4 linked regions of the Saccharomyces cerevisiae S288C genome follow. Changing the gene in region 2 together with the main gene of any one other region gives a genetic interaction. Each region holds a gene or a part of one and is shown on either strand. Other genes may lie near its edges.

Region 1 (7,011 bases), on a different chromosome or scaffold from region 2:
GAATTTATTTCCTCTAAATGGGCTAATCTGCCATTTCTTTCCTTCTCAATTTTGTCTTTGATAATTTTATTAAATTCTTTGACTTGAGTGATGGATAGTAAGCCCACTTCATTTGCATGTTTGGCTTGTAACAATTCTTCGTTCGCCTTTAATTTTTCTTCTAGTTCTTTGTCCTTTTGCTTGGTCAAGTTTTCTTTGAATTCGTCTACTTCTTGTAATAGGTTTTTTTGAAGATTCTTTTCAAACTCCCTTTTCGAGTTTTCATATTGTGTGTTCAATTCCGTGATTACTTCTGATGTTCTTTGTATCATGTAATTGGATAAAGCCTCTTTTAACGTTTCATTTAATTGGGATAGATTCGTAAGCATATTCTGGTTAGATTTTTTGATTGAATTGAATTCTGATTCGGGGATGGAGAGGTTTGAGTCATTTAGACTGTTGATGAGATCATTCAAAGAGCCAATGATTTCTTTCAGTTGCGGATCAGAATTTTCTGTTTCAATATTTAGTGGTTCTAATGATAAGATTTTTTTTACTTCAATATTTTCCCTATTAGATCTGCGCGTTTGTGAACTACCAGTTAATCCAGATAATAAATCATTGCTCTTTGCCTTCAAGCCGTCCCAAGAATCTTCTAAAAACAATGTTGGCCTATCGTGATAGTGTTCATATGTTTCTAGTAAATCCTCGGCAAAAGGAACGTTATTAGAGAAAAAGTCACCAAATTTGTCATTTTTTTGCGAATATATGATACCTCCAGCGTAGAAAGCTGTCGCTGACAAAGCAATAGTCCAAAGGGTATTGCGAAATTTGTGCGAAGCCTTTTTTGATGCAACGGTAGTCCCTGTGTTTATGCTGGCTAGACCCCTCCTTAGCACAATTTTTCGTGAGGCAGTAGTTCTTAGCATCATACGAATATTAGTTTTTTAGACTTTTCAATGCGTTCTTATGCCTTTTGTGTTCCTTTACTGTGAATAGCTTCCTCGAGAATAAGAACAGTTTTTAATTTCAGATTATTTTTCACTTTTTTGACAACCCTTAATTCCGATTCCGCACAGAAATCCGTCTTAGAATTTTATTGGTTCAATGAGTCTGCTACACGTCTAAAGTGATTCAATTCTGCTTGTCCACTGCTATGATGCATTGGTTCTTTGCCGACTACGTACTATAAGAAGCCATTTGATGAATCACTATTTTGCAAGTAGTTTCTTCTGTTGTTAGTTTTTTGCAATATTTATTTCTCTTTTTTCTGTAAGAAGTATATGAATCTTACAAAATATTATGAAAACTTTGTTGTATGCTATTGTCATAAGAATGGTTACGGAACGTACGAAAATAGACTTGCTAACTGTTTTTGAGCTGGAACATGTTCCACGCTCCGTGTTTGATGTATAGCATATATTGTATTATGTGCCCGGACGATTGCGTGAAGATGGAAATGCAAGAAAATTACCTCCGGAAACTGATAAGAGATCTTGAGCGTATTTTGATTTGCCTGGCCTTATAGTAAACGGAATCATATCAAGTAGTTGATAAAAAGAAATGTATTGGTTATATTGGATGCTGTGCGGATATGTATTTCGATCTCTATTGAAATGTATGATATTTCTTTGTTTTCGTCAGACACTGAAACCATGAGAAGGACCCAAAAAAAGAGTAAAAGACGTTTGTCATCCAGGATCAATGACGTTACTTGCCTCTCTATAAGCTTAAAGCGCTTAGCGGATGATGGACGTGTGTAATTTGTTACCCGCCTCTCTTTTTTACCTTGTTGTGTCAGTAATTGCATCACCTTTGTCACCACAGAAATGGTAAGAAAATATGGCCATACAGGGCAAAGGAATTTGGCATATCAGTCACTGAAAATAGTCCATAAATTTATTTATTTTTTGTTTTAAAGTGATTACTCGGTAAGGTCTCGAATAGTTAAAAAAAAAATTGACGAGATTTTTTTTTAGCTATGTTTCTGGACTATTCTGGATATGAGGCTCTTACTGAAATCAACTCTTCCTTTGGAAAGTATGTTCTTCTATTGCAACAATTTGAAGGCTGTCGAAGTTTGAAAGATCGGCTTCAAATGCTTAAGGATCTGGGGAGGGAATTTATGATATTCGAGAACTTGAATGTGGAAGATTTCAGAGAATCTAAAAATATGATTCACAGATTTTATACTATGGTTATTTCTTTAAGACAGATTATGGAAATTGGGCCCTTAGTCAGGCGTAGCCCTGCTGTTTTAGTTGTGGAATTCGATTGTCCGGTAGAGGATTGCCTAGATGAACTGGATCCGTTGCATCCATTGAACAGGGCCTTTATATTTATTCATAAACAATGGACCTATTATCATCAATATTATATAGTTGAAAAGGTAAAAAAGGTGATTCTTGATATGGCCCCGGTAAAGGAAGATGATTGGAGCATCCTTCACAAGGTTGTTTATTCAGAAGGTTTTGTCGAAAGACGATATAAAAAGAAGAAATACCTCGGTGATATTTACATTCCACAACCATTAATGAAAAGCAATAAAATCACTACTATCTCAAATTTTTCCCAACTTACCAAAATTTCCAACGTCAGAGTTTACAGATTCAACGCTACAGCAGCGTGTGATCCGCAGAACTTGAACAAAAAAAACTTGAGTATCAAAGAGCTTAAAGATAAAGACCTTCCTAATCTTATTTGGACTTTAGAACCAGAAAAATTCTATGTTGACATGAGACCTTACAAGGAACACGAGGAAAGGAAAAAACGGAGAGAAGAAGAAGCCAAGGTGAGGATGCAAGGTGAGGAACAGGAGAACATTATGATAGAGAGAAAAAAAATGGATAGTATTGAAGTTGAAGCGTCATCAGGATTGAAAAATATCATAAAAACACCTCTCGCTAATAGGGTTGTCAATACTTTTAATAACTGCGCTGCTGTGGTAATAGGCTATGTAACAGAAGTGGATAAAGTAAAGGATGACAATGAAGAGAAAAATAACGACAGACCTAAAATTGCGAACGACGGAATAGCTCAAAAGTCTAGAAGCGAAAGTGAAGATAATGCAGGAACACCGATGGAAAACGCGTACTTTCAACCTGAACCCCAAGATAATGACCAAAACAACATATCTTGGAATACCACTATGAAAGATATTGATCCAATTTACATGAGTGAAAGATGTGCTAGAGTTTGGAGAAAGGAGCAACAAATGCTAGGATTGGAGAAGGCTCAGACATTTGAGAAAAAATATTGTAAAGATCAGATGGTTATGGACGAAAATCAGGTCGAAGAACCTGGTAAGCACTCGGAGAGACATACAAAAAATCAGGTAGTTAGACCTAGGACCAAAATAGCATCTTCCGCCAGTAAAAATGATAATAGTAATAATAAAAATAGTAAATCATGCAAAAATTGCCATAAAGAGGAAGCGCACGGTCTAGTGAGAGAATACCTTAAGATTAAACTCAACATATCACCTCATGGAGAAAGGAATCAGCGAACAAAGGACAAGAGAAAATGTATAATGAAATACAATGCGAGCAGTAACAACATCAACAAAATGCCTGGGGAGAGTGAAGTACTTGGGTCAACTATTTTAACAGATATCCACTTTAAGGATGTCGTAACTGTGAAATTTAGGGATTTTAAAGCCAAATTTAGAAAAGTCAAAATAAACGCTTGATTTGCCAAAAATGCTATAGTCGCATCTAGAAATCATTACCAAAACGTGACGATTAACATAATACATTCAAAAATAAGATAGGATGCATTACATTTCATTATACCGTGGATTGGAACTGAAGATGAAAATTGCAGTAAATAGACAATAATCAGGCCTTATGGTTGTATGTCATATGTATACTCAAGATTTGAACTTTATATCACCTTTATTAGCGCATTAGCGCACATTTTAGGCCCCATTTCGAGGAATGTGGATTTTTGGCAAATCAATGTTTCTAGGTGTCTCTTAGCTTTCTATATAAGGAGTAAGGTATGCTTCTTGATGACATCAACCGTTTACTATACTTTTTTTAGATATTTTGTTTTCTGCGATAAGTATGATGGAAAGTAAACTGGTAATAACGTCAATACGTACTCTCTTGTAATTGTAGTGAAGCACAGTAATTAATATTTAAGCGTTCCCATGTTCAAATGTGTGAAAGGTAGGTAAAATCATTATGTTAAATTTTGAAATCCACATGACCTTGAATTAAATAGGCACATCACGATTGTAAAGGAATGAAATCAATCTGACTCCAAATTACTCAATGTTCTTAACACTATGTGTATCATTGAGACCAAACGGCAACTTCATAGTGTCTTGCTTTCGTGGACAGCGACTACTATTCTGGCCGGACAATTCAGGTTTATAAAGCTCTGCCCCTGCGATATGAAGTTACAATGTTAACATACGGGAGTGAAGGGAACAGGCCCGTTTACCAACTGTCAGTATTAATTATTTGTTAAGTCGCTTCGATATCGAGCTCTGGACATATCTAAATTTTTTTTTATAGTGCGAGGGTAGGAAGAAGGTTTAACTTATTTGGAGTAAACGTATATATTATTAACAGATGTTGCAATTTAAACTAGTTTTATTGGGTGACTCATCCGTGGGTAAATCTTCCATTGTTCATCGTTTTGTTAAGGATACATTCGATGAACTACGTGAAAGTACGATTGGTGCTGCTTTTTTATCTCAATCAATCACTATTCACCCAAACGATGGTAATGAAACAAAGGATGTCGTTATAAAATTTGAAATCTGGGATACTGCTGGTCAAGAAAGATACAAGTCATTGGCACCAATGTATTATAGAAACGCTAATGCAGCATTAGTTGTTTATGACATTACGCAGGAAGATTCACTACAAAAGGCAAGGAACTGGGTTGATGAGCTGAAAAATAAGGTAGGCGACGACGACTTGGTTATTTATTTACTGGGAAACAAAGTGGATTTATGTCAAGAAACGCCTAGCACTGAGACAAGCCCAGATTCAAACGAAGGTGGAGATGAAGAACAAAAAGTAAGAGCAATTAGCACTGAAGAAGCGAAACAGTACGCACAAGAACAAGGGTTGCTGTTCCGAGAAGTTAGTGCTAAGACAGGTGAAGGGGTTAAGGAAATTTTTCAAGATATTGGTGAAAAATTATACGATTTAAAGAAAGACGAAATTCTCTCTAAGCAAAATAGACAAATCGGTGGAGGCAATAACGGACAAGTAGACATTAATTTGCAAAGGCCATCCACAAATGATCCAACATCTTGTTGCAGTTGATATCCTATGATTTGTGTTTTAGAGGAAAAACAACAGAAGTTGCTTTAATTAAACTGCTACTTTCCGATAATAAAGCAGTATATACGTAATAATGTAAAAAAAAAAAGAAAAGGGAAGAGTAACTTTATATATGATTGTACATATACAGTATACATGAATATATATATATATATTTATATATATATATATATATACGTAGCCGTCGGCAAGATCTCCCAATTTTTTTCGTTCACCCTATTTACCATGCATGAGACTATGACAATGTTATATGATCTTGCTTGCATTTAATTTGCGTACCCTAGAAAAGAAGAATCCTTAGTGTATAATAAAAATTGAAACTATAAAAGAGAAATGTAAGAGAAGGAACAGTGCCCATTGCTGTTCATGTCCATACCCATGTATTCGCTAAATTCAGTGATTAAGCTAATGGCATAACGTTGTCAGCAAACTCACCAATGACATTACCAGCGGCTTTGTAGGAACAAATGATGTAATCGCCCCATTCGCCACCGCAAGATTTCAAACCGCAACCAACTTCAGAAGTTCCCTTCCATACGACTTGGGTGAAGTGACCTGCGCTTTCACTAAAACCAGGGTTGGAATAGTCGTAGCTGGTAATTTCGTTATACCAGGCATCAACAGAGCCGGTCGTACCGTAACCAAGTGCCAAGTTTTCACCGTATGGACCGCCGGAGTGGACTAGGTTGCCTGAACAATCGTAGGAGTCAGCGTAGTTTTGTGCATATGTTGCTAGTGTGTCAGACCATGTCAAAGAACCGGTATCCTTGTGCAACGCCCTTTTAGTGTTGTGTTCGTTAACCATTGACGTTGAGAAATCGGAGCTTGAGGATTGAGTGCTTGAGGCGGTAGATTGAGTGGTGGTAGCGGTGGTTGGGCTAGCAGTAGTAGTTGGACTAGCGGTAGTAGTTGGGCTAGTGGTAGTGGTTGGGCTAGTGGTAGTGGTTGTTGGAGTAGTTGTGCTGGTAGGTTGTGTTGAAGATGTTAAAGTTGTGGTTACATCATCCTGTGTGGCACTTGCGGAGGTTTGCACCGCTTGTATGGTTGCAGTTGCTGTAGAAAATGCTTCAGATGTTTCTGTAGAGGATTCTTCAAATGTTGCAGATTCAGCCACGACAGCGCTTTCTTGGATAACGGAAGTAGCTATGCTGTCCACTTGAGCATTAGCAACCACAATAGGAGCTGATGTTGTGGCAACGGGACTAGCAGAAGCCGTTTGAGTGCCCTTGGTAATGAACGTCGTTAGAGTCTGGCCATTTTCTACACGAACTATACCTTGTACCACTACAGTGGCAGCTTGGTGGACATGTTGCGTGACAGTCACAGCAACTGGGGCAGATAAAGCGACAGATGCAGATGCGGCCAGTAGTGAGACTTTAGAAAATTTCATCTTTGTAAGTTTTATTAAAGGAATGGTATTGTTTTATGATGGGCTGTTTCGAGGAACGATGATACCAAGAGCCAACAGATCCATCACAGCAATATGTAACACTCTGCGACAAGCATATATATATACAAAGATCAAAAGCATTGCCTTTGAACGACGTCTATGTTTCAAAAACATTACATATAGAGAAGTGCGTGAGATACACGAAATGTACTGTAAATAGCACACATGTTTATTCCCGCTATAGGAAAGATGATCTATGGGCAGATCTCTCATTCGTTTCATAACGGGGTCCATTTCAGTGATGCGTTTTCTTTTTTTACACCTTTTCACGAGGCCGGCTCG
Region 2 (5,781 bases):
TTAAATGGTATATTGAATAACAAGGTGAATATGCTAACAAGGGAAATCCAAATGGAAACTGTTGGCAATAACACATTTGAAACAGAAACAGGGAAGCTAACTAAGGGCCTAAACCGAGCAGTAAATATATCTCCGTTCAAGTACATAAAAAAATTCAAGACCGTTTCAACAAAGAAATTTGAAAGCCTCTTGAATAAGTATGATCTGGTTGCCAAGAAGGGCGGGGAATTGACAGAGGAACAAAAGAAAAAGAAGGAGGTGCTCTCACGGATCAGTAGAGTAGTCGCTGCAACAACGATAGAGGCTGGTCTGGCACAAGGTGTGGTTGATTTATGTATAACAGTGACAACTAGTCTATGCTTAGTCTCGGCCAGCATTGGAGGCGTCGGATTTCTTATTTGGCTCACCATTATATACCAAGCTCTGACTTAGGAAAATGTTGCCGATTTTGTTTTTGCCACTCCTGTACATTGTTTAATCTCAGATCGTTGTATATATATACATATATATAGTGTTTTAACGACATTCTTATATTTGCATTTCTGCTTCTTATTACACCTAACTATTCTGTAACTGCCATGGGTAAGCATTTTTGAAGTATTAATTAACAATTAAACTTTCAAACATACCCACCCTTTCGTTGGAATAAAAATCAATTAACACCCACTGACTAGTAAATATTACTAGAATAACTGATGATTATGCCAATTTTCTGACAGTTGTTGGGTTTCCATTGTTGACGAAGGTCCTATTATTAGATATACGGAACATACTAGATCTCTCGAGCCTATCGGAACCTACTAAGCGGAATCGGCAATATACATGTTATTCATTTTTTTCGTTTTTCGTTTTACATTATTAATTTTACGTCTCAACTTGGTTCAATTTCAGAGACAGCATCTCATCACATCTATCATCTTTTTGTACCACATAAGGTAATATACACGTAATAATAGGCAATAGATGTGTGCGAATGAACTTCCAATATAATCCATTTAGTAGTGCCTTTTGTTACTAATATTCGTCAGTTTCTCAAGCTGACACTTGATTTATTCTAAACAAATTTCAATCTTGGACAATTAGTTGACATAAACTACGTTACTAATTTTTGTTGTATTAAGGGCTTAAATAATACCGGATGTCTTGGCAATTCTATCGTTAGGAGAGTAATAGTTGTCAGACTTATTGTCGGCTTGTTCGCACATCGTTACTTATCCTATATTATACATAAGATCTGGTGAAGCGAGGAGTCCCATGTCTAAACCGATTGCTCAGGTATTTACAGGTTTAACTGCTTCATTTAAGCAAGCAATTATTGAATTATATACTCAATCTTGTCTCTCCCGTTACTATTATTTCATTCGCGTTTTATACATCTTTATTATTATAAGTTTGATACGGTAACTTTACAATCGATTAATTTCTGCTGAAAGCCCAAGCTTTCATAAATTAATAGGTTTCGTGGTCTAGTCGGTTATGGCATCTGCTTAACACGCAGAACGTCCCCAGTTCGATCCTGGGCGAAATCAATTTTTTGTTTTTTTAATTCACAAGAATAACCTGGTATTGTTATAAGCAAGCCACCCTTTGCGTACGATCAAACACCCTATAAAATCTATATGCAATACTGAGATATTGTATTTTTTCTCCTTTAATTGTTTATAGTTCAGAATAACAGTTCAAAAATCTATGCCGCGCTCACAGGGTCCTGCCGGGTATTCGCCCTCCAGCTTGAAAGGGGTGGCAATGCCCAAGAGCGATGTATAGTTTAGTATCAAGGAATTGAGAGAGGTATTACACCAAGGATTTCCGTGAACGAAGTGACGACGCAAGATTAACAGATTAAATTCTGGTAGTAGGCTAAGCCGTTATTAAACTTTATTTACGGTATACCACAATACTGCTCTTTTTGTTGAGGATATGACAGACAAAGGCAAGAACGATTTAACAAGCAAAGCTAAGGACAAAGCCAGAGGCAACCCCGAGAAGCCACCATATTGGTTTGAAATCATTGTTTCTGATCCACAAAAAAGAACTGGTGACCCAGGCTCTTCATCTGGCTACGTGAGTTATCAGATATCAACAAAGACTAACAACACGTCATTTTATGATAATCGTGGCGATCCAGAATCTATTATAGTTGTACATAGAAGATACAGTGACCTATTGCTCCTGCATGATATTTTACTCAACAGGTTCCCCACCTGCATCATCCCGCCATTACCTGATAAGAAAGTTTTTCAATACATAGCAGGCGATAGGTTTAGCCAAAGATTTACACAAAAGAGATGTCATAGTTTGCAAAATTTCCTAAGAAGGGTCTCTTTGCATCCCGATCTTTCTCAATCAAAAGTCTTCAAAACTTTTTTGGTGAGTAAAGATTGGGAATCTCACCGCAAAGTCCTCCAGGATAGCTTGCAACCAAATAAAGATGAAGTTACTGATGCTTTTATGAATGCCTTCAAAACAGTTCACAAGCAAAACGAAGAATTCACTGAGATAAGGGAGAAAAGTGATAAACTAGATCGGACTGTGACAAAGATAGATAAACTTTTTCATAAGGTTGTGAAAAAAAATGATTCGATGTCTGAAGACTATACAAAGTTGGGCAGTAATTTACAGGAATTACAAGAATTGGTCACAGGCGAAAACGAGGAACTTGCTGCGAAGTTGAAGATTTTTAATGAAGGTGTAACACAGCTGTCATATGGCTTGCAAGATCTTACAAAGTATCTGGATTACGAATATATTGTTGATTTGAAGGATCTTGAACACTACATTGATAGTATGCGACAGCTGATCAAATTGAAAGACCAGAAACAGATAGACTACGAAGAACTAAGTGATTATTTAACCAGGTCAATCAAAGAAAAAAATAACTTGATTTCTGGATACGGAGGTAGTAATTTCTTTGCCAATAAATTGGAAGAACTAGCGGGAATAAATCAGGAGGCTTCACGTAGAGAAAAAATCAATAAACTAGAAGGCAAAATAACGTCATTAACAGGTGAATTAGAAAACGCTAAAAAGGTGGCGGATGGATTCGAACAGGAATGCTTGAAGGAAATAGACCATTTCGAAAGTGTAAAAACGGCTGAAATCAAGAAATCTCTGGGCTCACTAGCGGACCATCATATCGAATTCTACGAAAGGATACTTGAAGCATGGGAAAAAGTAGACGATAGTCTATAGTGGTGCTCTTAATGTTTTCCCATTACTACTGATAATACCTTGGGCACTACGATTATCTGATCACATTTAACAGAGAAATTTAAAAAAAGAAAAATATCTATATAAAAATATGTAAATGTTGCTATTATTTTATGATGTTCTGATTTTTTTCGTCAAACCTTAGATTTCTTATGTACATTAAACTTAAACATTTTGCATTGTTCTTCCAGTTCTTGGATTATATTATCTTGGTGGGAGTCAATCAAATCCCAATCGACGCTATTACTGGACAAGTCAACTTTATTCGCAAAACAAGTCCTGTAATCATCACCAAAAGTCTCAATGAATGCTTCTTCATTAAGATACTTTGACCATTCCATAGGCGGAAACGTGTTTTTATCCAACACTCTGTCACTCTTGGACCGTGGCTTTGGCGCCCTTTCATTTTGTCTTACATAAAAGTATCTCAGCAGCATTATTGCTTCTTTCCTCAAGATCCCCGGTATACTCTCGTACCCTGCCGCACTATTGTTCTTGGGCACTAATGTACACGTATCATGATTTACTGACAAGACAGTACCGTTGCCTCCAAATCTCTCGTTGCCACAACCGAACACCACCTTTCCAATGTCTAATTGCTTGAGAGCAGATGCACACATTATACACGGTTCTACAGTAACATATAGAGTAATGTCTTTGAACACGTCAACAACTCCTCGGGAGCCCAACATCGCCTTGATCTGATCGATCCCCATGAACTCAGCATGTGCTACTCCAGTTAATGACTTGTTCGTATCGTTCATGCCATAAGCCATCACCTGGCCAGTTGGCGTATGTACAAAGATGCAAGCTACCGGTGTCTCATCGTGGTCAAGAGCGTATCTAGCCAAACGGACAGCTGTCCTCATATGTTTAATATGCTGCATAGTGTGAGTCCTCTAGTTTTTACCGCAGCCACCAGCCGCTTCTCGAGCAAAGTGTAGATCCCATTAGGACTCATCATTCATCTAATTTTGCTATGTTAGCTGCAACTTTCTATTTTAATAGAACCTTCTGGAAATTTCACCCGGCGCGGCACCCGAGGAACTGGACAGCGTGTCGAAAAAGTTGCTTTTTTATATAAAGGACACGAAAAGGGTTCTCTGGAAGATATAAATATGGCTATGTAATTCTAAAGATTAACGTGTTACTGTTTTACTTTTTTAAAGTCCCCAAGAGTAGTCTCAAGGGAAAAAGCGTATCAAACATACCATGTTTTTCAACAGACTAAGCGCTGGCAAGCTGCTGGTACCACTCTCCGTGGTCCTGTACGCCCTTTTCGTGGTAATATTACCTTTACAGAATTCTTTCCACTCCTCCAATGTTTTAGTTAGAGGTGCCGATGATGTAGAAAACTACGGAACTGTTATCGGTATTGACTTAGGTACTACTTATTCCTGTGTTGCTGTGATGAAAAATGGTAAGACTGAAATTCTTGCTAATGAGCAAGGTAACAGAATCACCCCATCTTACGTGGCATTCACCGATGATGAAAGATTGATTGGTGATGCTGCAAAGAACCAAGTTGCTGCCAATCCTCAAAACACCATCTTCGACATTAAGAGATTGATCGGTTTGAAATATAACGACAGATCTGTTCAGAAGGATATCAAGCACTTGCCATTTAATGTGGTTAATAAAGATGGGAAGCCCGCTGTAGAAGTAAGTGTCAAAGGAGAAAAGAAGGTTTTTACTCCAGAAGAAATTTCTGGTATGATCTTGGGTAAGATGAAACAAATTGCCGAAGATTATTTAGGCACTAAGGTTACCCATGCTGTCGTTACTGTTCCTGCTTATTTCAATGACGCGCAAAGACAAGCCACCAAGGATGCTGGTACCATCGCTGGTTTGAACGTTTTGAGAATTGTTAATGAACCAACCGCAGCCGCCATTGCCTACGGTTTGGATAAATCTGATAAGGAACATCAAATTATTGTTTATGATTTGGGTGGTGGTACTTTCGATGTCTCTCTATTGTCTATTGAAAACGGTGTTTTCGAAGTCCAAGCCACTTCTGGTGATACTCATTTAGGTGGTGAAGATTTTGACTATAAGATCGTTCGTCAATTGATAAAAGCTTTCAAGAAGAAGCATGGTATTGATGTGTCTGACAACAACAAGGCCCTAGCTAAATTGAAGAGAGAAGCTGAAAAGGCTAAACGTGCCTTGTCCAGCCAAATGTCCACCCGTATTGAAATTGACTCCTTCGTTGATGGTATCGACTTAAGTGAAACCTTGACCAGAGCTAAGTTTGAGGAATTAAACCTAGATCTATTCAAGAAGACCTTGAAGCCTGTCGAGAAGGTTTTGCAAGATTCTGGTTTGGAAAAGAAGGATGTTGATGATATCGTTTTGGTTGGTGGTTCTACTAGAATTCCAAAGGTCCAACAATTGTTAGAATCATACTTTGATGGTAAGAAGGCCTCCAAGGGTATTAACCCAGATGAAGCTGTTGCATACGGTGCAGCCGTTCAAGCTGGTGTCTTATCCGGTGAAGAAGGTGTCGAAGATATTGTTTTATTGGATGTCAACGCTTTGACTCTTGGTATTGAAACCACTGGTGGTGTCATG
Region 3 (4,417 bases), on a different chromosome or scaffold from region 2:
CGACCCTATTGACAGGGGTAAGGCTTTGTACAGGTTAGCCGAATTAATTGAACAGGACAAGGATGTCATTGCTTCCATCGAGACTTTGGATAACGGTAAAGCTATCTCTTCCTCGAGAGGAGATGTTGATTTAGTCATCAACTATTTGAAATCTTCTGCTGGCTTTGCTGATAAAATTGATGGTAGAATGATTGATACTGGTAGAACCCATTTTTCTTACACTAAGAGACAGCCTTTGGGTGTTTGTGGGCAGATTATTCCTTGGAATTTCCCACTGTTGATGTGGGCCTGGAAGATTGCCCCTGCTTTGGTCACCGGTAACACCGTCGTGTTGAAGACTGCCGAATCCACCCCATTGTCCGCTTTGTATGTGTCTAAATACATCCCACAGGCGGGTATTCCACCTGGTGTGATCAACATTGTATCCGGGTTTGGTAAGATTGTGGGTGAGGCCATTACAAACCATCCAAAAATCAAAAAGGTTGCCTTCACAGGGTCCACGGCTACGGGTAGACACATTTACCAGTCCGCAGCCGCAGGCTTGAAAAAAGTGACTTTGGAGCTGGGTGGTAAATCACCAAACATTGTCTTCGCGGACGCCGAGTTGAAAAAAGCCGTGCAAAACATTATCCTTGGTATCTACTACAATTCTGGTGAGGTCTGTTGTGCGGGTTCAAGGGTGTATGTTGAAGAATCTATTTACGACAAATTCATTGAAGAGTTCAAAGCCGCTTCTGAATCCATCAAGGTGGGCGACCCATTCGATGAATCTACTTTCCAAGGTGCACAAACCTCTCAAATGCAACTAAACAAAATCTTGAAATACGTTGACATTGGTAAGAATGAAGGTGCTACTTTGATTACCGGTGGTGAAAGATTAGGTAGCAAGGGTTACTTCATTAAGCCAACTGTCTTTGGTGACGTTAAGGAAGACATGAGAATTGTCAAAGAGGAAATCTTTGGCCCTGTTGTCACTGTAACCAAATTCAAATCTGCCGACGAAGTCATTAACATGGCGAACGATTCTGAATACGGGTTGGCTGCTGGTATTCACACCTCTAATATTAATACCGCCTTAAAAGTGGCTGATAGAGTTAATGCGGGTACGGTCTGGATAAACACTTATAACGATTTCCACCACGCAGTTCCTTTCGGTGGGTTCAATGCATCTGGTTTGGGCAGGGAAATGTCTGTTGATGCTTTACAAAACTACTTGCAAGTTAAAGCGGTCCGTGCCAAATTGGACGAGTAAGGTCATCAATAAGCCTGGTGTCCAATCGATGCTTACATACATAAAATTAAATATTCTGTCTCTGTTATATTTCCACATGTCATCATTTCAAATATATGTACTTTAAAGAAAATAAAATAAAAAATAAAATTTTTTTCTCCCGATAATCAATTTTCTTAATTAATTAATTGCGTTACGATTCCGTTTTTTTACTTCTTTTATCTCATTATCTATCTAAGTTATTTAAAAAAAAGAAAGAACTTTTTATGAACTTTCCTCTTTTCTTTCTTTTAGACTATTTAAAATACATCACCTTGGTCAAACATAGCATCAGAGACCTTGATGAAACTTGCGATATTAGCACCTTTGACCAAAGATGGCAAGACCTTACCGTCCTTAGTGTACTTCTTGGCATAGTCGATACATTCATTGAAACAGTTGATCATAATTCTCTTCAACTCTTGGTCAACTCTTTCGCTAGTCCATGTGATTCTTTGAGAGTTTTGTGCCATTTCTAAACCAGAAACAGCAACACCACCCAAGTTAGCAGCCTTTGGTGGACCGTACCAAACAGCTTCGCTTGGTCCAGTGGCGGTGGAACGAGCAGTTTCAAAGACGGCAATAGCTTCTGGAGTGGAACCCATGTTGGAACCTTCGGCAATAAACTTGACACCTTGAGCAACCAAGGCCTTGGCTTCTTCACCGCTGACTTCATTTTGGGTGGCACATGGCAAAGCAATGTCGACCTTTTGGACGTGGGTCCATGGACGAGCACCAGCAATGTATTGCACTTTGTTTTCGGAGAAAGTAGAGTATTCGTTGACGATTTGTTCCAAGGACTTGAAGTTGACCTTAGCACTGGAAATATCAGCGACTTGTTCGGAGGTGATACCAGTTTCAGAGATGATACAACCCTTGGAGTCAGATAGGGAAACGACAGTACCACCTAGCTCAATAACCTTCAAGGCAGCGTATTGAGCAACGTTACCACTACCAGAGATGGTGACGCGCTTACCTTCGAAAGATTCCTTACCGTTTGTGGCATAGTCGATCATAGCTTGAGTATAGTAAACTAAACCGTAACCAGTGGCTTCTGGTCTGATCAAAGAACCACCCCAGTTCAAACCCTTACCGGTTAAGACACCTTCCCAGGAGTTCTTGTATGATCTGTAAGCACCGAACAGGTAACCAATTTCACGACCACCAACACCGATATCACCAGCTGGCACGTCAGTGTCTTGACCAATGTGTCTGCTCAATTCTCTCATGAAAGCATAACAGATTCTTCTGATTTCGTTATTAGATCTTCCCTTCAAGTCCACACATAGACCACCTTTACCACCACCCATGTCTAGGCCGGTCAAGGAGTTCTTGAAGATTTGTTCGAAACCCAAGAATTTCAAGATAGACAAGTTCACGGAAGGATGGAAACGTAGACCACCCTTGTATGGACCCTTGGCGGAGTTATATTGCACTCTGTAACCTTGAGCAACTTCTTGTTCACCCTTGTCATTTTCCCAGGTGACTCTGAATTGTATGATTCTTTCTGGAACAGAAACAATTGGCAAAACCTTTCTGTATTCTGGGTGTTGTTCGAAAAGAGTAGAGTCTTCCAAAGAGGAGACAACTTCTTCGTAAGCTTGTTGAAATTCTGGCTCTGACATTTCTTTTTCTTTTTGGTCTCCTAACTGTTATATTAGAATAATGCGATAGTACGTATCAAGCAACTTTCAATGCTATAAGAAAAGTCATTTAAAGAGTGAGAGAATATAAAATGGGTAAACGCATTTGTAACTCTCGTATATTTTATATATGAAAAACAGAAAATTTTCCAATCTTCTCTTACTTAGATTACGTATACTTTGCTTTAACAAGAAGCCGGCCTTTGCTGCTACTTCTTACGCTTTCTTCTTCCGCAATTTTTCAGTGCTGATTTTCATTATGGTACCTGATGAAAAAGAAAACGGCGCAGCAGCTGATAACAGCTTCTCTCTGCTGATTGGACGTGGGGTCGTACTATTTCTTTTTTATTGCCCCACCGCACTGAAAATGCATGGGCCGGTTCCGGCGCATTGGTTCTGCGATAAGAATATCGAGGCCATCCAATCAGATGGTCAGATAAGGTTATTAAGATCAGGCCCGTTTCCATGGAGTCATGGAACCTGCATAAGGGGAGCCTGATACACTAGAGAATAATGACCTGAGTGGATGTAGCATCATATTCCTTATGAAATCCTCTTATCCAGCCAATCGTAAACGATGCCCTCCCCCACGTTATTGTTGTATAATTCAGGTTATGCCCAGATGCGGAGTGGTGCCCAGATCGACTCGAACGCATGGTCTTCTAGGACTCTTTATCGCAGCCCCATGAAGCAGTGCCACTTTATACTGAATGGAGTTACTAATATGGTTTGGCTCGGTTGGTATACTGGCCACAGCCCGCTAGAATAATTCAAGAAAAAAAGCCAATGCTGGACAGAATCACTGTAGAGTTTAGCGGACTTGAACCTAAAGAAGTTCATCTCCTTCTTGTCGGGAGCTTCGGTGTGCTAGTTTGTTACTGTCGAAGAGTCCATCATTAAGAGAAGTTTTCGAAGCTTCTGTCGCTGAACTACTGTATGCGAGATTACACTTTACAGAATAACTTGGGAAGCTGTCATTCTTGGTAGAATATGAAGGCTTTGAGTGCTGATCTAAGATCAGCTTACGCAAAGTTTCTTGCACTTACGCGATTGGAGCCGACGGCTTGGTAAAAATTTTCGAAATTGCAGGTTCTTGAAGCAGAGATTGTTCCGAAGAAACTTGGTTTCCAATCAGATAGAGAAGTGGGCTTTCTGGTCATGCCACGCAAGTTACAAGCGCGGAATTGCTACCACTTTACGTCTTTCTTCATGTTCCTCGGACGTTTCCAATCATTAGCCGTTCCTCTAGACATCTACAGATCTATTCCTAATCACAACCTATCTCTAGCCGCAAGATATATCTGTGTGAGAGGGGTCGCAACAGGAATACCTTAAATGGGATAACCGTCACGTGACTCTCACTAGGGGCATCAAGTGCGCTGCTTCTTCAAGGTTTTCGCGCCCTGTTTGAAGAAGTGGCACAGAATCCATAGAGTAATATTACTAACGAGCTACGAAACTTAGCTTACCTATTAAATACTCAAAGAAAATACGCTGTGTATGC
Region 4 (5,902 bases), on a different chromosome or scaffold from region 2:
TTTTACTGTATCAGCATCGCATCTACAAGCTATTATGAAGTAAATGAAAATCTCAAGGCTTAATGTGAGTAAATGCAGCTAGATTGTCAAAGGTTTATATATTTTGTCGTTCTTTTTACAGGAAAAAAAAATTCTGTGTAGAAGTGTAAGATCTATGATTGCAGCAGCTTGAAAAGCGATAAGTTTGTTGAGGATTTAACAATTTCAACTTTTTTTTTAAGCAGAACAATAGATTGACGTAGTTAAATTTGTCTACTAAGATCTGTAGGCAAGTTTTTTTTTTCCAGGGACGACGCCGTATAGAAAAAAGCAACTAGGGAATTTACCAGGCCATAATGCGGTGGATTCAAGCTAAACGAGTACTGAGGGGAACTTTAATCTTCAAGGCGGTATCCAGGCGGATTTACGAAGCAACTGACGGAGTGCTGCAGGAATTTAAAGGAGAGTTCTGGAGCGCTTAAATGCACCTAAACAGTATCCACGGAACATACTGTACTAAATACACGTCAAACGGGAACATTTCAAAAAAAACTTAATAATATAACTCAGTTTTTTTACATAGTGATAAAAGTGATATATTCAAGTCTTTTTACTATTTGCTAGGCATCCAAACCGTTTTGTTTAGACGTATCACTATTTTAGCATCACTTATGCATTTGTGCCAGAATGGACACTATTACAAACCCCACCGTGCCTCAGCTGAGAAGGTCCCTTACCTAAAGAAAAAGAAAAAGAATTCTCGAAACGAAGGCAAGGCAAAAAAAAAGAATGAAAAGAAAAAAATAGGAACTGTTGAATTTTTTCAACAAAAAAAAAAAGAAAAAAAACGGGTCCTAAATGCGGTGTGTGGGTTATAAGATGCCGCAAATGAAAGAATGCTATTTAGAGTAATCGATTATCATTCTTATTATAAGCTAAGTTGGTCAAGATGACCTGTTTGACCTAAAGACAAGCACTAACGCAGGCACCGCACTAGTACTTAAGTTTTCTTACGTGAAAAGGAAATATGGGTGATATGTGTCTGTTCCACTCATATCTTTTGGTTTCTAATTTTACGTAATCTCTTGTATTTTCTTGAGAGGGTAAATTTTCACGACGCGTCAGACGCTTATATGAGGGACGAAGTTACATATTTGAATGCATTAATCAAGAACAATATTGTTGAGTAAGCGAATAGCTACCATTGTTCGCAGTTCTAGGATCGCTAAACAGAAAAGGTTACTCTCCACGTGTTTAGAGGGCTACCCACAAACCGTCATAAATCATACCTCCTTCTTTGACGAGCGTATTGCGCCGTTCGAATGATTCATTCCGCCAAGAACTAAATGAACTTCAGGTTTGGGTCTTTCCACTTTCTTAACCCAACCATTCGTTTGCGTCCTTTTTGCCCCAACCTTGATCTTAAAAAATTGCAAGAAGAACTTTATTTATCAATTCGCCCGCGAAGTTAAAAAAAACCGATCTTCGCAGGCACTCGTTAGAACTTAGAAACAGTTCCTCTTAGGGCAAGCGCCCTTGTCGTATTTAGCCTTCTTTAAGTTGAGCTGTAACGTTGTTCGAGTCCGAGAAGTATCCTTGACAGGGACGATAACCATCAGCAGGAAAAACGGTATTTTCATTTATATCCTTTCCTCGAGGAGGGCTTGAATTATGCAATCTCTAAATACTATTCAATTCAGAGAGTAGATTTTTGTGGGCAAAGTAGACGTCGCTCTCTTTCAGTATACGTTCTTGAGCTTTCCATTTCAATGAACCGGCAACTAAGTTGGTATCCTTTCATGATCCTGTCGAGTACATTTATAACAATCATGTTGATTGTTCCAGTATCATAGATAAAGCGGTCTCGTGTCGTTATTGATGGTAAAGCGTCAGGTTACGATGCCCTGAAAGGTTACAGTTTAGTTATAAAGTACTATGTAGTGAATGATATGTTAGTACTCTATAGCATGTAACGTCAAGTCAGAGAAGGAATTGATCCAGGGTTTTTCCTTCAAATACTTTCCTTCATCAAAATCGGTGAGTATTTGGCAGGACTTAAACTTCGGTGCTATTGAATCATAGTCTATATCAGATGGTGTGACCTTGAGTTTAGAGGAGTTGTTTCTGTTTTTTCTTTTTCTCTTTGGAATGAATGTTGCAAAACCATCTACATCATGTGCTTTTTTAACTTCTGGCGGAGCGTTAGTCTGCAAGTAATGAACTAGCTTGCTTAAATTAGGATAGTTTTCACAAAGTTTTGCTTTGGTGTATCTATCGGTGTGTGATATCATATTATTTGCCAGCCATAAGTGTGGTCGCTGTGACGATAGTATGTTCTCAGTTAAATCCAAAGGAGCATGGGGAAGGAAATATAATACCGATTCATAATCAATTGCATCGTTCTCTGAAAATTCTTCCTCTATCAGCCATTTGCTTCCTAAACTTTTCAAGTACTGTATCTCTTCTTTAGTAAATATTGGATCATACAGGGAAACAACGACATCCCTTTCATCCTCACTTTTTATATAATCAGTAATCTCTAGGAGAAGAGCGAATTGGTACGTCGCAGGAAAATCCTCCTTGAAATTTCCAATTGCAACACATCGTATTTTCTTAATGTTATTGAGGTGCGGTTGTAAATTTTCAAGTAAATCTGAGAGGAATGCTGATTTTTTCAGAACATCTCTATTTGTCTGAACAATTTCTTCAAACGCTTTAGCAGGCACTACCTTCTTGCCAGTTTTCTTAAACTTTGTCCCACTTGCTTTAAAATCCATACAGCAGAAGACCGGTCAAGGTCATTAACTTCGGTATCAGTTCAGGATCTTAGCAGTTTTCTAGAGTTCAAATAAGTTTTCACTTTTTTCATCGCTACACGTCGAGCAAGCATCATTCCTTACCCGACCCGCAGATAGTTTACTTCCCATAGAGCTTTTATTATAGTTTTACATCAACTAAGGATGTTCAAACCGTCTCGTTTCCCAAATATGCAGTCATGGAATATGAACACCTGGTGGTATTAGCTATTTATTTTTACACGAATAATTATTTGTTATTTAGCAGTCGTTACAAATAGTAACTTTTACCAGCTAATTATGAAAAAAATGAGGAAGGCGTCAATTTTTGAAACAAACCTCTCGGCTTTCCTCTATTCATTTTTGTCTTTCTACAAGCAGCATTTGCGATCATCACTCTCTTTATCATAACTCACTGTACCCTGGGCTGATCCATTAGCACCCAATGAGCCTAGAGGTTCATAGCAAAATATGAAACGACCAACGATAGCACCTATTAAACAACTAATAATGATATAGCCGTTATAGTACATGAACAGCAGCATGATGATATAAGATAACCCCCACTGTAATACGAAAATAGTAACTCTTATCATGTGATCCAAAAAAGTTGGGTACAAATCCACTGGCGTTATTAATGTACAGCATGATAGGACCTTCTTTAACAGGTCGTCTTCTGGCTCGTTCAATCTCCTTGGACCCCAAACGTAAAAACTATAAATGAAACTTTTTTGTAAGGAAATTAAAGTTGTTTTCCAGCTTGGTTCGTTGTAAAAGCCTTGTAGTTCTTCTATATCAGATTTAGCATCCTCTTCTCCACATTTGACAACGTACTCCTCTGGCGAGTAACTAGCTAAATGCTTTATTTTCTGTCTTTTTAATAGCTCTACGTCAAATTGCCTTGAAAAACGAGTAAGCCATTGAGCTACCACCACAAGCGCAAAACAGCCGATGCAAGAACCAGCAAATTTTCCTTTGGTGTCATTTCTCCAAGATCTGGCAATGAAGCAGGTGTCAATGGTATACCAATTCCATAACATCGATATTTTACAAGTCGCTTTTTTGGCAGCAGTGCTGCTACTGCCTCCCATATTCATCTTTGTATAGCCCTTAAATGTGTTTTCGTCTGTTGTTATCCCTCTTCTTCGATCAAAGTGTTAGGAAATGAAATAAGATAAATTACAAGTCTATCGGAGAAGTGAAGAGAATGTGGATTTTGATGTAATTGTTGGGATTCCATTTTTAATAAGGCAATAATATTAGGTATGTAGATATACTAGAAGTTCTCCTCGAGGATTTAGGAATCCATAAAAGGGAATCTGCAATTCTACACAATTCTATAAATATTATTATCATCATTTTATATGTTAATATTCATTGATCCTATTACATTATCAATCCTTGCGTTTCAGCTTCCACTAATTTAGATGACTATTTCTCATCATTTGCGTCATCTTCTAACACCGTATATGATAATATACTAGTAACGTAAATACTAGTTAGTAGATGATAGTTGATTTTTATTCCAACATACCACCCATAATGTAATAGATCTAATGAATCCATTTGTTTGTTAATAGTTTAAATGTTTTTATCGGAAGAGGTTTTGTCATCACATCAGCAATGTTCTTCTTGGTCTCGATGTAGTATACGTATAAATTATTACCTGATACTTCATCTCTAAGTCTCATTGCCTTTGTGCCAAAAAATCTGTTTCTAAATTTCTCTTCATTTGTAGACTTAATTATACTGATCGTTGATCTACTATCAGTAAGTAAGCCTTTAATAATTGGTTTCTTGTTAAGTTCTTGCACAAGGTGACTGAGGTTATTCAATAGCGGTATAGCTTCACTGACTGCGTGTATTTCTGCTTCTGTAGTTGAAGTGCATGTTAACGAAGCCTTTGTCGACTTTCCTCCAATCACTTTTCCGTTGAGTAGGAAAATGTTACCAATTTGTGACTTGTAATATGGTTGGTTACCATATGAAGCATCGCTTATTGCGACTAGTTTATTATCTGGCTTGGTAGGTTTGTTTTTGTGCCATATTAATTGTTTATCTCTAGTGTCCCACATGAATTGTATTAACTCATATGTCATGTCTAAAACTTGTCTAGAGGGGAATAGTATATGTTGAGCAAGTGTGTTGATGTAGTATAGTAAGTCAAATCTAAATTTATATCCAACATATGAAGCTAGACCAATCAACTTTTGCATTTCATGTACCTTCTCTTTGTATTCATCTTCATCTATTTCTAGTTCATCCTGGTCTATATAATGACCTGGTTGACCTGGAGCTCTAAGTTTCTTTCCTTTTGGGTTCAAAGGTACGTTTAGTTTGGGTAATTTTTCTGTCAAGGATTTTTCCATACCTAATTTCATGTACTTGCTTCTTTGATATTTGATCTCTAATCCAAGTATGTCGTACTGAATTTCGTTATCTCTTTCACCCAGATTTATTATCTTTGTATCGTATTGTTTCTTGAGTGTTGTTATGATTTTCTTATTTGCATTTAAGTCTTTGCTGAATAATATCATATCATCAACGAATAAGCAAATTGTTACTTGACTATTCTTAAATACGCATGACCATCCGCGAACTTCTTGCATGTCGCAACAATTTATTAAATATGATTTAATGGTTTCATACCAGTTTGCACCACTTTGTTTCAAACCATAGAGTGATTTTCTCAAACGTAGTAATTTATCATTCAAACCTAAATGTGGTGGAGGTCTTATGTATAATTCTTCTTTGATATCAGCATATAAGTAAGCAGAGGATATGTCCAGCTGTGTGATATAATAGTCGTTGTCTAATGCGATTGACAGTGACGTCATCAGTGCATAGTGATGTACGGTATTGGATTGCATATCAGAATCATATGTATCGGGGTGTTGAATGTCGCCTCTTGCAACAAATCTAGCTTTGTGTGTACCATCACGTTTCTTGTTAAATATAAACATTGAGTTTATTACTTTTTTAGGATCTATGTCATTTCTATCATAATATTTGTTTGTATCCCAAGTGTTCATTTTCAATAGTTGGCTAATTTCTTTATGATAAGCTTCAACATATCTGTCTTTTTCTTTGTTGTCTTTATTATATGTAATTGCTTCATCATATCTTAA

What was found.
Region 1: mutations in TAD2 (region 2) and YKR015C together harm fitness more than expected from each alone (negative genetic interaction), as found in Saccharomyces cerevisiae (one large-scale study listed by BioGRID).
Region 3: mutations in TAD2 (region 2) and GDH1 together harm fitness more than expected from each alone (negative genetic interaction), as found in Saccharomyces cerevisiae (one large-scale study listed by BioGRID).
Region 4: mutations in TAD2 (region 2) and BER1 together harm fitness more than expected from each alone (negative genetic interaction), as found in Saccharomyces cerevisiae (one large-scale study listed by BioGRID).

Annotation. Positions count from the first base shown.
Region 1 is NC_001143.9:463,617-470,627, reverse strand, and holds YKR015C (uncharacterized protein), read left to right. Parts: upstream 1-1,960; coding exon 1,961-3,667; downstream 3,668-7,011. Other genes in the region: MIC60 (Mic60p), read right to left, coding at 1-911; Rab family GTPase YPT52, read left to right, coding at 4,557-5,261; PRY2 (sterol-binding protein), read right to left, coding at 5,680-6,669.
Region 2 is NC_001142.9:376,905-382,685, forward strand, and holds TAD2 (tRNA(adenine34) deaminase), read right to left. Parts: upstream 4,098-5,781; coding exon 3,345-4,097; downstream 1-3,344. Other genes in the region: IRC18 (Irc18p), read left to right, coding at 1-432; SNX4 (Snx4p), read left to right, coding at 1,921-3,192; Hsp70 family ATPase KAR2, read left to right, coding at 4,423-5,781. UniProt on the Saccharomyces cerevisiae protein: Structural subunit of tRNA-specific adenosine deaminase, which deaminates adenosine-34 (the first, also called wobble position of the anticodon) to inosine in many tRNAs.
Region 3 is NC_001147.6:1,040,148-1,044,564, forward strand, and holds GDH1 (glutamate dehydrogenase (NADP(+)) GDH1), read right to left. Parts: upstream 2,896-4,417; coding exon 1,531-2,895; downstream 1-1,530. Other genes in the region: aldehyde dehydrogenase (NADP(+)) ALD4, read left to right, coding at 1-1,252; YOR376W (uncharacterized protein), read left to right, coding at 3,044-3,412. UniProt on the Saccharomyces cerevisiae protein: Catalyzes the incorporation of an ammonium ion into alpha-ketoglutarate to form L-glutamate, the major route of assimilation of ammonia into an organic form in yeast.
Region 4 is NC_001144.5:945,222-951,123, reverse strand, and holds BER1 (Ber1p), read right to left. Parts: upstream 2,757-5,902; coding exon 1,932-2,756; downstream 1-1,931. Other genes in the region: YLR412C-A (uncharacterized protein), read left to right, coding at 651-857; high-affinity Cu transporter CTR3, read right to left, coding at 3,146-3,871.